Diceros bicornis minor: one gene and its partner. The protein of the gene in region 2 interacts with the protein of the main gene of each other region in a pairwise test. Links are inferred from orthologs where the notes say so. Each region holds a gene or a part of one and is shown on either strand. Other genes may lie near its edges.

The links.
Region 1: the proteins of DVL3 (region 2) and BAHD1 interact in binary tests that used the Homo sapiens proteins (3 or more experiments, as listed by UniProt). The two-hybrid records come from large-scale screens. The link is inferred for Diceros bicornis minor from reciprocal best matches to the Homo sapiens genes DVL3 and BAHD1.

Annotation. Positions count from the first base shown.
Region 1 is NC_080744.1:38,306,403-38,313,739, forward strand, and holds the start of BAHD1 (bromo adjacent homology domain-containing 1 protein), read left to right. Parts: upstream 1-4,309; 5' UTR 4,310-7,337.
Region 2 is NC_080754.1:39,518,146-39,525,977, reverse strand, and holds the start of DVL3 (segment polarity protein dishevelled homolog DVL-3), read left to right. Parts: upstream 1-4,812; 5' UTR 4,813-5,044; coding exon 5,045-5,205; intron 5,206-7,832. Other genes in the region: EIF2B5 (translation initiation factor eIF-2B subunit epsilon), read left to right, coding at 13-72. UniProt on the Homo sapiens protein: Involved in the signal transduction pathway mediated by multiple Wnt genes.

The DNA of each region.
Region 1 (7,337 bases), on a different chromosome or scaffold from region 2:
GCGGCGTGTTTTCTCTCAGCCCTGGATGTTTTCCTCTCTGCATCTCCCTCTCTCTGCTCTCCTGCTCTGAGGCAGTTAACCCTTCCTGATGGGTCTGGAGGCGCCTGGGTAGGGAGAGCCCCTTGCCTGGAGGCAGGGAGAGGGTGATCCAGGAGATCTGATGGATCCATTCCTGTCTCCAGACCAAGGGGCAAACCCTTTTCAGTGGGGGATCTCTGGGCTGCTGGGTGTGCAGCAGTGAGAAAAGGTGATGGGCCCCAGGCATTGGCACAGCTGCCTTAGTGGAGTAGGGGGTGGGGGGTGGGGGCACCACTCAGGAAAGGTTAGAGGAGCTGAAGGAAGGAGGAAGAGATGGAGACCTTTCCAGGTGTGGAAGGGCTCTGGACTGGGAAGGAAGGAGGCCCAGGTGAAGGGGTCCCTGGAAATGGGGTCAAGGAGGAGAGGAGAGGCCGAAGGGTCCCTAGGGGGACAGGCAGGGGATGCAGCCCCTGGCGTCTTCTTTGCTGGCTTGTTGACCAGCTTTAACAAAGTAGATGGGGAACTGAGGTAGATCAGTGGGCTGGCATAGGAAGAACACCAAGTGCCTTTAGCCAGCCTGTGTCTCCTAATGGTCACCCACTCAGAGCCTCCTGGGGCAAAGGAGATAGCCACCCACATCGGGGAGGCTCTGAGGGAAGAATTCCTCCAGCTGCCTGGCAGGCCAGGCAGTCTGGCTAGGCTGGGTAGTTTGGAATGGGCTCTCATGACCACTCTGCTTCCTCTCCAGTCAGTGTTGCCTTTTTCCCTCCCACCAGGGCCCCAAATAAAGACAGCTCTTCCCCCTACCCCATCCCAGGGCCACTAGATCTTCACTCCTGAATGCTGGGGAAAAGTGCAGCCCTCCAGCCTCACCCTGCAACCACTTCCTAGGCCTAGCACGGGCTTCCTGCCACTTGGGTCTCCTTCCCTGCGACTAGGTACATTTCTCTTCTGACCCTTTTGGCCTCAATCCCTGCCCATTCATGGGCATGAAGCCAAGGTCAGCACAGGCTGGGCTGCTGACAGGAGCCTGTCCCCTCTTCTGCCTTGGCTCCAGGCTGCCAGGATGGTATGGCTCAGCTCCAGTGGTGCCTGCTGCTGTTACCCTCTATCACCAGGCTCTGATGAGGGGTGGGGGACATGAGCCCATGTGACAGAATGGGACAGGGAGAGAGAGCATTTCGTGAGGGGGAAGGTAGGGCTGGCCTGGTGGTGGTGGGGTACTGCTAGGAATCTTTGTCCTGGGAGGCTCAGGGAGGGGAGAAATCTTTTAGTGTCCTACTTGTATAGATTTGGGGATTTTGCTTTCCCTAAGGGTGGGAGGTGGGAGAAGTAAGGGGCACTTGTCCTAGGAGAACTTGGTCCTTTGAGAAGTTTCTAAGCCACAGTCTTAGCTTTTAGCTTCTATTCATACACTTCCCCTACTGGGTGGCCCCCTCCTTTAAATGTGTCCCCCACACAGCTAAGACTGTCTGGGCCCCCTTGACAGCTCTAGTGGCAGATGGGGAACGGTCTTTTAGAGTTTTATTTCCCAGCCATGGGGGCTAGCAGCGCTGTTGTCTTAAAGGCTGCCTTCCTGAGTGCTGGAGTCTCAGGTCTAGGAAGGGCTAGGCAGCGTGTGTGGTGCAGCAGGAGCCCCTCAGCCACACTCCAAGGCTGGGTTTCTCCTCTAGTACCCAGGCAGCCCCAGCACTCGGGGGTGCTTCTCTCTGGGGGTGCTTCTCTCCACCAAGGCTTAGCTCGGCCCAGCCCCTCCCTAGGCTGCTCCCAGCGCTCTGGTGACTTGACACTACCCTCGTCGCTGCTGCTCCTTTTACCTCCCAAAGCACCCCTCCCCCGCCTGAATTGGGAATGAGGCTTTGTTCTGGGCTGGACTCAGCATTTCTCAAGAACCTACTACGTGCACAGCCAGTGCTTACCGAAGAGAAGCCCTATGCCGGGTCTGGCAACACAAGGTGCCCAAGACACAGCCCCTTCCCACACCTCAGAGGGACCTCCCACACCTCCGTGTGACCTCAGCCTGCTGTGCCCACCCACCCTGCTGACCCCGCGAGCGTGCTCAGGCTTGGAAAGGCACGTCTGTGGGTGTGAGACGGAGCCACAGCATTCGGTGACTAGGGGGAAGTCAGGTAAGTGTCCACGCTTGGTCCCATCCTCGCTTGGGGACGCGAGGGAGGGAGTCCAGCCGGGGCTGTCAGGCTGCCCGCCCCCTCTCCCCTCCCCCAAAGAGCTCTGATGTTCCCCGCGGTAGTGGAAGAGGGTGTGTGGGTGTCAAGGACTCACAGACCAGGCTCTGCTGTCAGCTGGAAATGGATGAGGGTTCCACACTCTGCTTCTGGGAAGGGTGAATTAGGAGCTGGAGTAGGGGGCGGTAGGTGAAGGGGAGAAAGAGGAAAAAGAGATGCGGGTGAGGGGTTACCGAGCCAGGACCGACCTTGCTTGAAAGGAAAGGAGACGTGGCAGGCAGGGAAGTCGGAAAGATGAGGCAAGGGCGGGAGGGGCTTCTCAGCAGTCGGGGCCCTTTCGCTGGAGTCTGGGGCCCTTTCTGCAGGAAAGGGGGGTTGTCCTCGCTTGATTTTCGGCTAGTCTTTCCGAAGCTGTGCCCTGGGGGCAGCAGCCGCTGGCGAGGGTGGAGTGTTCCTCGGCCTGCAATTTTCTCCAGTGGGTGGTGGGGAAGAGAAGGGAGAAGAGGGATGTAGAGGGGTGACGGCCAGGGCGGGGGCGAGATAAGATTTCCAGGGGGGGGGTAGCAGCTGGGGGATTGGGGCTCCAGGGTCAGGTCACCATGGGATACCGGCTCAGGCTCGGTAGACGAAGAGAAAAATCCAAGAAGCCGGCAAAGAAAACCAACCCCCACCACCACCCTTGGCACCGTACCCCTCCCCCCAGGCCCCACCACTCCCCGCACCGCCTCCCCCGGCCGCCTCGTGCTGCCCCCTGCGTTGGGACGACCGACCCACGATTCTGATTGGTCGGAGATCGGGAGGGGGAGCCAAGGGCCGGATTGGCTGGCGAGGCCAGCGCAGGGCGGGGCGGCTGATTGGTGGAGCTGGCCGAGGGGCGCGCCGCTGATTGGCTGTGGACGAGGAAGCAGGAAGGAGGGCGGTGGAGGCTCCGCTCTCGGGGAGTTTGTGGGGGAACCGCGAGCGGCGTAGCGGATCCCGGAGCCCGGCCCCCGCCGCCCGCCCGTCCGGCTGCCTGCCCCGCCCGTCCGGCCCCCGCCGTCCGCCCGCCCGGGCCAGGCGCGCCCGCCCCCCCGACGGCCCCGCCCGGCCGCGGCCCCCGCTCCGCCCGCCCGGCCCCGGCCCCCAGGAGGAGGCGCTGACGCAGCAGCGTGGAGCCCGGGAATTGAGCGCCCCCGGGGGGTTCCAGCCGCCGGATTCCAGCCCGGCTGGGGCCTGCGGGCGCCCAGAGCTGCGCCGTCCGCGCCGCCGTCCCGGTGAGCTAGGGGCCGGGGTCGAGGAGGGGGGAAGAGGCGAGCAGGCGAGAGGGAGCGAGCAAGCCAGCGAGGCAGACAAGCGAAGGGGAGAGGACCGGCCGCCCGTCAGCGCGCCCCACCGAGCGCGCCGCGTCGCCGCCCCCGCCAGCCCGGGAAGGGACGGACGGACGGACGACGCGAAGCAGGTGCGGCCGCCCGCTCGCGGCGCGTCCCTCCCCCGGGTCCGGCGCCACGGTCCCGCCATCGGGGAGCGCAGCGCGCCTCGAGGTGACAGCCCCCCGGGGCCGCTCGCTTCGCAGGCCGGGGGCGGGGTGGGTGGCGGCCGCAGGGTGGCAGCTCGGCCGGGAGGCGGCGGCGCGGGCGTCCCGGGCCGCGGAGGGCGGGAGGACGCCGGTCGTTTCCTCGCCGCGGCGGAGCCGGCTCGCCTCCGAGTGCGCGGGCGGCGAGGCCCCGGCCCCCCCCGTTGCGCCCCCTCCCCCTTCGCGGTCCCCGAGGCAAGAGGCCGCGGCCGGGGGCGGCGCCGCGGGATCGCCCGCTCAGGGTGGGGGGCGCCCTCCCGCGCTGGGAGCTGGCCGGTTATTACTGGATGGGGGGCAGAGGATGGGGACCGCGCCGGGGCGGGGGGTAGTGTAGACCGGACCTGATCGGGCGGGGAGGAAGGGAGGCGCCGAAGACGGAAGGGAACCGGTTCGAGTAGCGAGTGTGGGCCGCGGGAGGCCCGGCGGGGACCGTGCGGAGCGGCGAGCGAGTCCGAGGTGGGGCGGGGGGATCGAAGTTGTCAGACCGCCTCCAAGTGACAGCGGGACCCTGTGCTCGCGGCCCGGCCTGGTCCTGCCCAGCCCGCCTCGCCGCCTCTCCTCCGGGGCGGGGTGCCGGGTCAGGTCGGGCCCGAGGGGCCCGCTCGGCGGTGAAGCGCCGGACAAAGGCGGCGCCGGAGCGGGCGCAGGTGGTGGCGTCGGGGAGGGGAGCGGGTCCGAGCCACCCACCCCGAGGGGCGGGCGACAGGACCGGACTCTGCCCCGGGGATTGCGGGGGCCGGGGCGCCCGCCGGGAGGAGCTGCGGCACTGGCTCACCGCTCCAGCCGCGGATCGCCTCGCGGTTCTGGGAAGAGAGGGGTCGACCTGGCCAGGGCAGAGGGGCAGAGGTGGGGGTGTGCACACGCTGGGCCTGGCCGGTGGTGATCGGGTTGCTGGAGTCACCGAGACGACAGTGCAGTGAGCCACTCTGGAGTCAGCCAGGAATGAGGGGTTTCAGCAAGCAGAGGCTGCCCACGGGCAGGGGTTTAATCCCACGTAGGACATCTCCTAGTCGACATGTCAACAGTGTTAAGAGGGCAGGACACCAGTTGGATTGGGGACTAGGAGACAACCCCAGATGTGCTACGGCAATGCGTCCACAAGTGCCTTCAGCACTTTTCTTTAGCCAAAGGAGATACCCACATAGGGAAATGAGAAGCTGAGTTTATAAATGCAGGCAGGCATTTAATGACTAAATAAAAAAGGTTTCCAGTCCTTTTTCCTTTGTGCGGCTTGAGACTTGCCTCCCCAGTCTCTCCACCTCTGTGTTTTCTGAAAAAAGGAGAAAAGTGCCCTAGAGGCACCACATGTCCTGGAGGGACGCCACTGTCCTTGGCCTGCTGGAGGGCACTTGGAAAGCACTGGCTTAAGCTATGAGTGCCTCTAACCCCACCAGTGACCAGCTCTAAACTGGTTGCTGTTTTCCCATTTGTAAAAACCCACTTAGAGGTACCGTGCCCCTTAATGTGACCTCATACTTAATGGAAAAGTTGGGAGACCACAAAGACAGGGAGGCTCAGGCTGTTCAGAATGTGGTCTTTTGCTAGAATCTGAGTTCGAATCCCACCCCACATAGGTGTTGGTTACTAGGTGCTCCCAGCTGTGGTTGGCTCTAACCCTGCCCTGGGAAAGCTGCCTATCAGCCTTGCTTAGTACAGACACGGAGTTAATTCATGGCCACCCTCTATCCCCTCCCCAGGAGGGTCTAGACCCTAGGCTGGGTGGAGTTGAGCCTTGTGGGAAAGGGAGGTATTACCTCTTGCAGGAGACTGAAGTTTGTTCTGAGAGAATTTAATTGTATGTCTAAGATCCAGAGAATGGTGAAGAATCTCAAGGCCTTCATGCCTTCTCTGGGGCTACACAGTACGTGATTTCTTTTGGTGGCAATCAGAAGGGGGTGACCTGGTCTGGCCGCTGGAATATATGAAGGGGAATTGCCAAAACATTTTTCTCTTTGACAAGCTCTTACCGGGCAGGAGACTCAAGTCAGTCAAAGAGATGTCTGGGAGGATTTGCTCTGGAGACTTTAGCCAGTGAAGAGCTTCTTTCTTTTTTATGTCTCCCTCCTTTTCTTTCTTTCTGTTGCTCTGCTGTCCCCATGTCAGCCCTGTGTTGTTGTCATGGCCTTTCTTTCCCTCCGGCTTCCTCTGGTCCTTCTGATCCAGTCTGTACACAGCTGCTAGATCATTCTTCCTAAAGCACTCCTCCCCCGGTGTCACTCCCCTATCCACAGACTTGCAGTGGCTCCCCTTTTCCTGCAGTCTGACCCTAGACAGTGTCCCCTGAGGCTCTCCCTTAGCTGTGCCATGCACATTTGTCTCCCTGCGTCTTTGCTTCTGCTGCTTTCCCCAGTTGTCCCCAATGAGGAGCCCCTTGCCTTCCTCTCCTCCCGCCTGAACCTCCTCATCCTTCATCTCACTGTCACTTAGGACACCAGGCCAATAATGCTTGCCTCTGCGACTGTGACACTAGAATTTATAACATGGTGTGTTTTTGAGTGGTTTTGTAGGTTGGAAGTTTCTTAAGTACAGGGACAGTATGAGTGTTAAAGCTTTGTGTGTGTGTGTGTCTGTGTGTGTGTGAGAGAAAGACTATTCCAGGATTTCTGGTATAGTGCAGTGCACATTGTTTTTGTTGAATGAATAAATGCAGTTGGCTGCTTGGTTGGGTGGGAACAGAGGGGAAACATTCCCTTCTGCTTCCCCCAGAAATGCTCAGTATGGAGTCCTTGGTGGTTTCCAACCTTTTCTGTCAATGGCATATAGATAGAGCATGTTTCGGGTGCTTTAGCATGGGGGACAAATGAAATTTAGTGTTGTTTGTGATATTCTGGCTGGTGAAGAGTCTGTCCTGTGGATTGCTCACATGATACCCTATAGACATGAATTGGAAAAGGGCTGTAATCCTGTTTTGCTCCTACCCTAGCAGGCCATTCTCTTCACCCGGCTTTGCTGCTCTTATGCAATTTTCCTTGTTGTCCATGTTAAATGAATCCATATGTTTTATCTCTTCTCAATCCTGGGTGTAAATGAGGGAGAAAACACGGTTCTGAGAACAGAAAAGAAAAGGATTGCTGGGTCTTGCCTGTGGACGGGACTTTTGGGACTAGTGTTGGAAGAGGTGTTTATAGGGGCATCGCTGACATGGGAGGCACGATCAGCCCCACACTGGACCCGTCAGAAAGGAAAGCTATGATCCCGGCTTTCTCGGAACTTGCGTTTTTGTTTACCATCAGCCCTGGACCATGAGGGAAATGGGAGAGAGGACTGGTGACTGGTTTGAGTCTAGATGGTGAAAAAATAAATTCTGCATCCATCCCCTTTCCCCCAAACCTCCCTTTTGTGCCCCAGTTTGATGATTAATGGACTAGCATTTCCCTTCCAAGCGGGAAGGCCACCCCTCACAGTTGCCATGGCAATGCAGACCGCTCCCTGTCAATTAAAAAAAAAATCCCTACTACTTCTGTCCTCCTTGCTTCTGCTCTAGCAGGAGACAGGCTACCTCAGAACGCATCTCCTGGGCTCTGTCAGCTGCCCAGGCTGTTTTTTGCTGTGTGTCCTAGAACACAGTCCTTCCTCTCTTT
Region 2 (7,832 bases):
GCTTTCTTACAGCTGCAGAGGTTCATCCAGTGGCTAAAAGAGGCAGAAGAGGAGTCATCTGAAGATGACTGAAGTCACACTGCCTGCTCCCGTGGGTGTGGTTGATTGCCCTCCTGGCTTCTGGGCCAGGGCAAGCAAGAGGCTAGTTGCAGAAGGTTGAGTGACCACCGTCTGAGCTGAGACTTAAAGGAGCAGAGGCTGGAATTACAGTATTCTTCCCACCGCCAGCAACCACGTGCCTCCCATCCCCACTGGGGAATTGGGATGAGGGAAGCTGGGCTGGAACAAAGCTCTGCCTAAGGAGGAGCGAAACAGGCCCTGTAGTTAGAGGAAGGCCAGAGGAACAGCTTTGTGTTCTGGCGTTCCCTCAGGGAACAGCAGAGAGCAGCTGGCCCTCTCTGCTGCTTGTATTTGTTAATATTAAAAAAGAGAGAGAGGAGTGTATTTGGTTTCCTTCCAGCTCTGACTGATCAGCCGATGAAGTAGGCGACCAAAGAGTTCTAAACCTCTGACATGTCAGCTTTTCCTTAACACCTGGGGGAGAGGGCGAAGAGGGCTATTATGGCCACTAGGTGGTACTGTGGTGCCTCGCTAATTGACCATTGCCATGGCTTATGGATAGTGGAGGGCCTAGATTCTTTTCTAGCCTCTATGGACCAACTTGTGATCCTGAGGTGGTGTGCCTGAGCCTTTTTCCATAGGGAGTCCTAGTCCAAACACTTTTCTGCCAGAGGGTGATGATGCCAAGTGTAAGTCAGTCCATTAACCACCTACCAGTCCCTCATGTACTTTGTCCAGTTGATCCAGTACTGCTGTCAGGGAAGCTGAGCTACTTTTCATCTTAAAGAAAAGGAAATTTGCTCAAGGTCTCATGACTCCTGAGGGGTAAGGCTAAGGACTTGAGCCTCATAATCCAGCACTTGAGCCTCATAATCCAGAATTCTTTCTGCTTCAGCTTATTCAGTGTCCAGGTAAAGGGAAATGGCCCTCACAGGCAAATATAACCCCAAGCCAGCAATGGATATCCTAAGACAGAGGAAGATCCTGTGAAATGGGCTTTCCTCTGATATTGAGAGACTGATTACTGTATGATAGGCATTTTGCTTTTTTTTTTTGCTAAATATTTTTCATGTGTTATTTTAGTTAACCTTCACATCAGCCCTGTGAGGTAGGTCTTATCCCCATTTTCAGATGAGGAGCCTGAAGTTCAAAGAGGTCCCATAGCTGGTAATTGATAGAGCCAGGATTTGTTATTGGACTCTAAAGCTGGAATTTGTCAGTTTGCTGTATTGTCTCCTCTAACCTCAACCATGAGACATGCCCTTCTAGCTCATCTTTTTGAGCTCTTGGTTGCCTTCCTATAACCCTTACTCTGTTGACACTTAAACTGTGGCAAATGTTACTGGTAACAAGTAGCCCTCCTGGACATCATAGATAAAATGGTTGCCTTTCTTCATTTCATTTGGGTGGAAAGGAATAAGCTGAGGAAGAGGATACTGAACTGTACTCAGGGGTTTGAAGGGGCATTACTGAGTATTTCTAAAGAAGAAAAGATAGGCTGGCCGGGGTTTGACTTAATTTACTTTTCTTATTCAATAAATCTCAGTTTCTGTTTATGGCATGGACCTAATAGGGGCAGTTAAATACAAATAGTTATAGGGCACCTCTGATTTGTACCTAATGGGTGGCAGAGATCAGAAGTGGCCTATAGAACTTTTTAGGAGGAAGAGGGTCCTTCCAGTTGGGGTGATTAGGGAAGGCTTACAGGATTGTGATGCTTGAGTGGCCTAAAAAACAGAAAAGGTAGAATGGCAAAAGCAAAGCCAAGGATTTCTACTTAAATGTGCAAATTAAAGACATGGGCTTTTTACTCCCTCCAAAACCCATTCAAATGCCAGTAAAGGACTTCAAAAAAGGCACATGATTCAATGATAAGGAAAACAGGAGGTGATGACAATAATGAGAGACATCAACATTTTGGAAAATGAAAAATAAATGGAAGAGTGAAAGTTGACCTGGCAGAGCAGAATGAGATGGGTTTTACCTGCTGAGGTGGTTATTAACAAGAAGCAAACCAGTGTGCCCTTCTGGACCCAGAAAAGGCTCAGCAGAGGAGGTAAGGATTGGGGCTGAGAGCTAGAGGTGAGGTGGAAGGAAATTCGAAAAAGATCTGTTTAAGAAAAAGCCCCCCAGGTCCCCCTCATCTGATCCAGCCAGGTGATTACCGCAACTTCTCCCCCGCAAGAAATGGAAGATTGAGTCTTTGGAGAAACGATGGGGAGGAAATTATCAAAGAAATATTTACAAAGGTTTCCTAAACCCATAGGTCATGAGTTTCCAGACTGACAGAGCCCATGAGCACCCAGCATAATGAATGAAATAGCCCCATGAAATTTCAGAACCTCAGGGAATACGTAAACTATTAGAGCCTCTGGACTCAACAGCAGGCATGGTAGAGATGCGGGTGAGGGGCTAGATTGAAAATGAGGGATTAAGTGATAGTATATGAGTGGTAAGGCTCTGAATATCAGCATACACCGACTTATACTCCCAGGCGAAAACAAACTGAACAACTGCAGAAAAAGGACCTGCAAATACTTAACATTTTTTATTTATTCGGGGAGAAGTCATCTTTCCCCCACTGGATCACCCTACAGTGAAGCCTGTTAGTTAATAAGCCGTATGCATGGACAGAGCTCCCAATCAGCTTTTTAGTATCTCACTCTTAAACGTGAATAGACTGCTTAGGGCCATCAAACATTTGAGGAAACTTCCAGCGTGAAAGGCAGAGACCAAAACACAGAAAATTGAAACGAAGGAAACAGTGACAAAGTAGGGAGCTTTTTGAAAACTTCAGGAGGGGAAAGCTATAATTAGTATTCTCAAAACTCAAAGAGGAAAGATATTGTGTCTGTGAAGGAACAATTGGAGAACAAAAGAGTTCTTAGAAATTAAAAATAAGTAAATGAATTATTTCCTTTTGAGAGCTGGAGGACTAGAGAACCAAATAGGAAAGAGACTGTACATCCATCCTTATGTACTTGAATTTTCAATCGGGAATATTTTACCTATCCAATTGGATAGGAGAAAGGTTGGAAATAATGTTAACAAAATCTTGCAAAGAGATGAAATCATTTAAAAATAAAAGGAAATGGGGGCCGGCCACACATATTACTTTAATAAAATTTAAAGTAAAGAGAAGGGTATGAAATGAAAATATACAAGGTGTGTGCAGGGGCTAGCAAATAGGTTGATTTGCTGAAGTAAAAAATTTAGCCAGGACATACTGAAACAAAAGGCTTTAAAGGTAGGAAAAAGTTAGATTATGGAAGGCTTTGAATATCATGCTAAGAATATTTGGAAGGCATTGGGGAATGTGGAGAGTTCTGAGCAAAAGAAGTGTCTGAAAGAGGTACAGTCATGCGTCGCTTAATGACAGGGACACATTCTGAGAAATGCGTTGTTAGGCGATTTCATAGTGAACATCATAGCATGTACTTACGCAAACCTAGATGGTATAGCGCACTACACACCTAGGCTATATGGTACTAATCTTATGTATATTCGGTCCATTGTTGACCAAAACCTCATTATGCTGCACATGACTGTACTTACTCTTGAAATGCTAATTTGGCCACAGTGTACAAAATGGAGTGGGAGGAGCCCACACTTGTTACTGTGGCCTAAAAGGACCTTTGTGATCTGGTTCCAATCTACCTTTTCAGCCTCATCTACCACTATCCCTATAGTCACAATGGCCTGCTTCTTGTTCCTCAAATTTGGCGAGTTTATTCCTGCCTTAAGCCTTTGAATTTGGCTGTGCCCTCTGCCTGGAATGCAGACTCTGGTCTGCCTGCTGCAGACCAGACCTTCTTATAGCTGCTTCTTCATTAATTCTAGGTCTTAGCTCAAATGGAAGAGGCCTTCTCTGACCACCCATAATCCTCTTTCCGGTTATTATCACATCACTCCATTTTATCTTTTTCATAGCATTTGTCACTCTAAAGTTATTTAAATACAAGCTTGTGCCTCCTTGCAGATGAGCCAAGGTCCTGAGGGCAGCCTGTCTTGTTTTTGCTGTATCTTATACAGTTTGCCTTGCACATAGTAGGCACTCAATATTTATTAAATGAATTAAAAGCTAAGGAGTGAGGAGGTCTATTAGGAACTGCTTATACCTAGTTCTCCGTTTGAGAGCATTTTCATTATTGTACCCATTCTGGATTCAATCCACTTATTAAACCACTACTTTGCACCTAGGTACTGAGGTTTTAAGAAGGAATTAGAACTCGATCCTGTTCTGTCCTCAAGGAGCTCAGTTTGGAGACTCAGTGAGAGCAGTTGTGCTTCTCAACAGACCCTAAATGGCCATGTCGAGGTCACTTTCTTCCAGCTATACATGATCAGAACCGCGCTCCCCCTCCCATCTCTGGGAACCAAAGGGACCCCTGCATTTCACCCCTGCCAGCTGCAGAGGAGCAGCCAAGATCCCCCTCGGGTCCAGAGCAAGGTCCTTGAAGAGTCCAGGAAGGCGGCCATCCTAGTGAGATCTGCCCTTCCATCTCTGGGGGCCTAGGTGACCGTCGCGACGCTCGCCGCGCGCCTGGGACCGGAGCGCAGGAGCAGGAGCGCGCCGCCCGGCCGGTGGGCGGGGTGTCCGCGGGGCCAGGCCCGGGGCCAGGACATCTGCCGCGAGGCCAGCGCGGCTGGCGGCGGCGGGGGCGGGGCCGCGCCGGGGCGGGGCCGCGCCGGGGCCAGGGGAGGGGAGCGGGCCCGGCTGCAGCCCAGAGCCGAGAGGGCCGCGGCCACCGGAAGAGTCGCCGTCGCCAGCCGAGCCGAAGAGTGGGGAGCGGAAGCGGCGGCCGCGGCGGCGGCAGGCGGCGCTGGGACCCGGGAGCGGCTGAAGAACAAGGGAGCTGGCGCCGCGGCCGGCCGCCGACTGGGCTGAGCCGCTGGGTCGCGCCGAGCGCCGCCGCCGCCCGAGAGGCCCGGCCCGGCCGCCCAAGCAGGCCGCGCGCGGGCCGCCGGGCCCGAGGCCGGAGCCATGGGCGAGACCAAGATCATCTACCACCTGGACGGGCAGGAGACGCCGTACCTGGTGAAGCTGCCCCTGCCCGCCGAGCGCGTCACCTTGGCGGACTTTAAGGGCGTTCTGCAGCGACCCAGCTATAAGTTCTTCTTCAAGTCTATGGACGACGATTTCGGGTGAGGATGGCCCCCGCCTCGCCTCTGGGGGACCCCAGCCCCTCCGGCTTCTGGGAGCCACTTGGCCAGTTTGGACTCCCCTTTGCTACACTGGCTCCTAGCCCTGCTCTGGATTCTAAGGGGCGACCCGGCTATTTGGGCCCCCTTGGCTTTTTCAGAGGCTGGAGTTCAGCCCCTCGAGGGACTCTCGTTTCCCCTCTTTCGGGGGACCTTGGTCTCCCTAGTTTAGGGTGACGTTCAACTCCCCCAAAGCAATCAGAATTTCAGCCCAGTCAAGTCCCCTCACCTCCTCAGAGACCAGCGGCCCACATAGACAGACACACACCCCCCTCCACCCAGTTCCAGAGCCAGAATCCCCAACCCTCCTCCTGCCAAGGGAGCCACCTTTGTAGCATAGACTTGGGGTGTTGGGCACTCGGCCTTCGCCTGCTCCATCTTTTCGGCTCCACAACTCAGAGCCATATTTGGAGTATCATGCATCTAAGGGCTATGGTGCAGGACTTTGAACTGGAGGAGGGGGTGAGATGGAGGGTGCTTAGGCGCCAGGCTGTAAGCTAAGGCCTGCAGACCTGATGTTTATTTAGCTGTCTCCCCTCTCTCTCTTGGGGTGTTCAGGATGTTATCAAGGGAGCAGAGCGCCGGCCCCTGGGAGGAGTCCTCACTAGCCCAGGTGCTGATTTTCCCTCCGAATTGGGGCCTTTTTCCTCCAGATGGTGGCCGAGGAGGAGACCTTGGAAAGGGCCTCAGAGCCTGGATGGGAGGGCCAGGAAGAGTCTCTTAGTGTTCTTCATCTTCCCCTCCCTGGCGGGGTCTTCTCCACCCAGCTGCAGGGCTTTGGACAGGCGGAGTTTGGAAGCAGCGACTTCCCCTTTAAGAGGGGATGGAATGTTGGAGCCGGAAGGTTCTGTAGCAGCTGGCCTAGGAGGGGGAGCCTGGCCGATCCCCTCACCACCCCCCCAACTCCCAGGAGACTGGGGGAGGGGGAGGCCCCCACACTAGTCTGCCCCACACTAACTGGGCACTGGGCCTGGAGGCCTGTGGGGAAGGCCCTCCTGGGCCCTCCAGGCCTAAAAGCTGCTGCTCCAGCCCTAGCTTGAGGCCTGTACTGCTCTTGGGAGCTGAGGCCCCAGAGCTGAGTGAGGGGGGACATTCTTCTCCCCAGTGTTCATCAGTGTGGCTTCTCTCCCAGGACCCCGGCCCTCCTGCCCTGGGAAGCAAAGCAAGCACCTTCTCTCTCTTCTGCCTGGCATGTTTTGCTGTCACCTTTCCCCCTGGAACTCAGAGTTCCATGAGCCCATGAGATCATAAGTGCTTTATATAGTGGGAAGTGCTATGCAGCTTCTAACTCCTGTTTCTGTTGTTGTTGTTCCTGCCCTGGGGTGGGGTACTCCTGGTGTAGTAATGATTATCTCGCTTCAGTCCAGAGAAGGACACCCCTGATTGGAAGATTCTGAAGAGGGATCGATCTGCTGGGGGTGGGAGTGAGGGGGCAGATGCCTTGGCCTGGTAAGAGAATAGAGTCAGAAGAGACCAAGATACTGCCTCAGGGTATGAGATAGGGGGAAATCAGCTAGAGTCTACTGTAGTAGGGGGCCACCCTGGGGCCAGATGCCTTGAGGGACTAGGATAAGTCTGTGTCTCCAACCGCCTCTCATCCCTGAGTCCCACTCATCCCTGAGCCCACTGGGCCTACCCCCACCTCCTGAGCCTAGACCTCTCTGGGCTGCCTCCCACTCTCCCCAGGCTGCTGTCAAGCCAAGCCTAACTGCAGTCATAGGAGGGACCCCATTACATCCACTCACTGCTGACTTAATATTGTTCTTTAAATCCACTGTCAGTCCACTCACTCTTTCTTAGCTTGACCCAATCAATAATATGAAATCACAGGTCCGATTTTTTATCTATATTTCTTTCTAAAATATGTGAAAAATAAATACTTAACTATTGAATTAAACGTTCATTCAGGTACACGCGAAGCCATCTTGCATACCTCAGTGGTACTTGAACCATCCTTTGCAAAATATTAGAGGAAACCAAAAAATTAGAGCCAATTTAACAGGGTTGAGAACAATGCTAAAAAGAAGTGGAGGAGGTTGATTTTGTTTTTATCCCCAGAAAGATTAATGAGCAAGAGAGCTGGTAGGGCTGTCTTGTCACAGAGGAATAGCTGAGGAGCATGTATATATCTATATCTCACTTACTTAACAAACTCTTTCTATGTGCTTACAGTGTGCAGGCACTGATCTAAATGCTTTTCAAATCTTTACTCATTCAATCCTTTTAACAGCCCTGTGAAATAGGTGTAATATCTCCAGTTTATAGATGAGGCGACTAGAGCACAGAAAACTTAAGTAACTTACCCAAGGTCACACAGCTAGTAAGTGGCAGAACTTGATTCAACATCAGGAATCTGCCTCCACAGTGTAGGGCCTTAATCACACAGTTGTAAGTATTATTATTATCACCATTTAACAGATACATCCTCTCTGAGGGAGATGCTGAGCCTTGGCAAACTGTAGAGGTGATAGGGCTGCCACTTATCCTAGCCCCATGAGAGGAGGGTCAGGGCAGAGGTCAGGAACCCCTGCTGACAGATGGGAAAGTAGGTCAGAGGAGGAAGGCTGCTT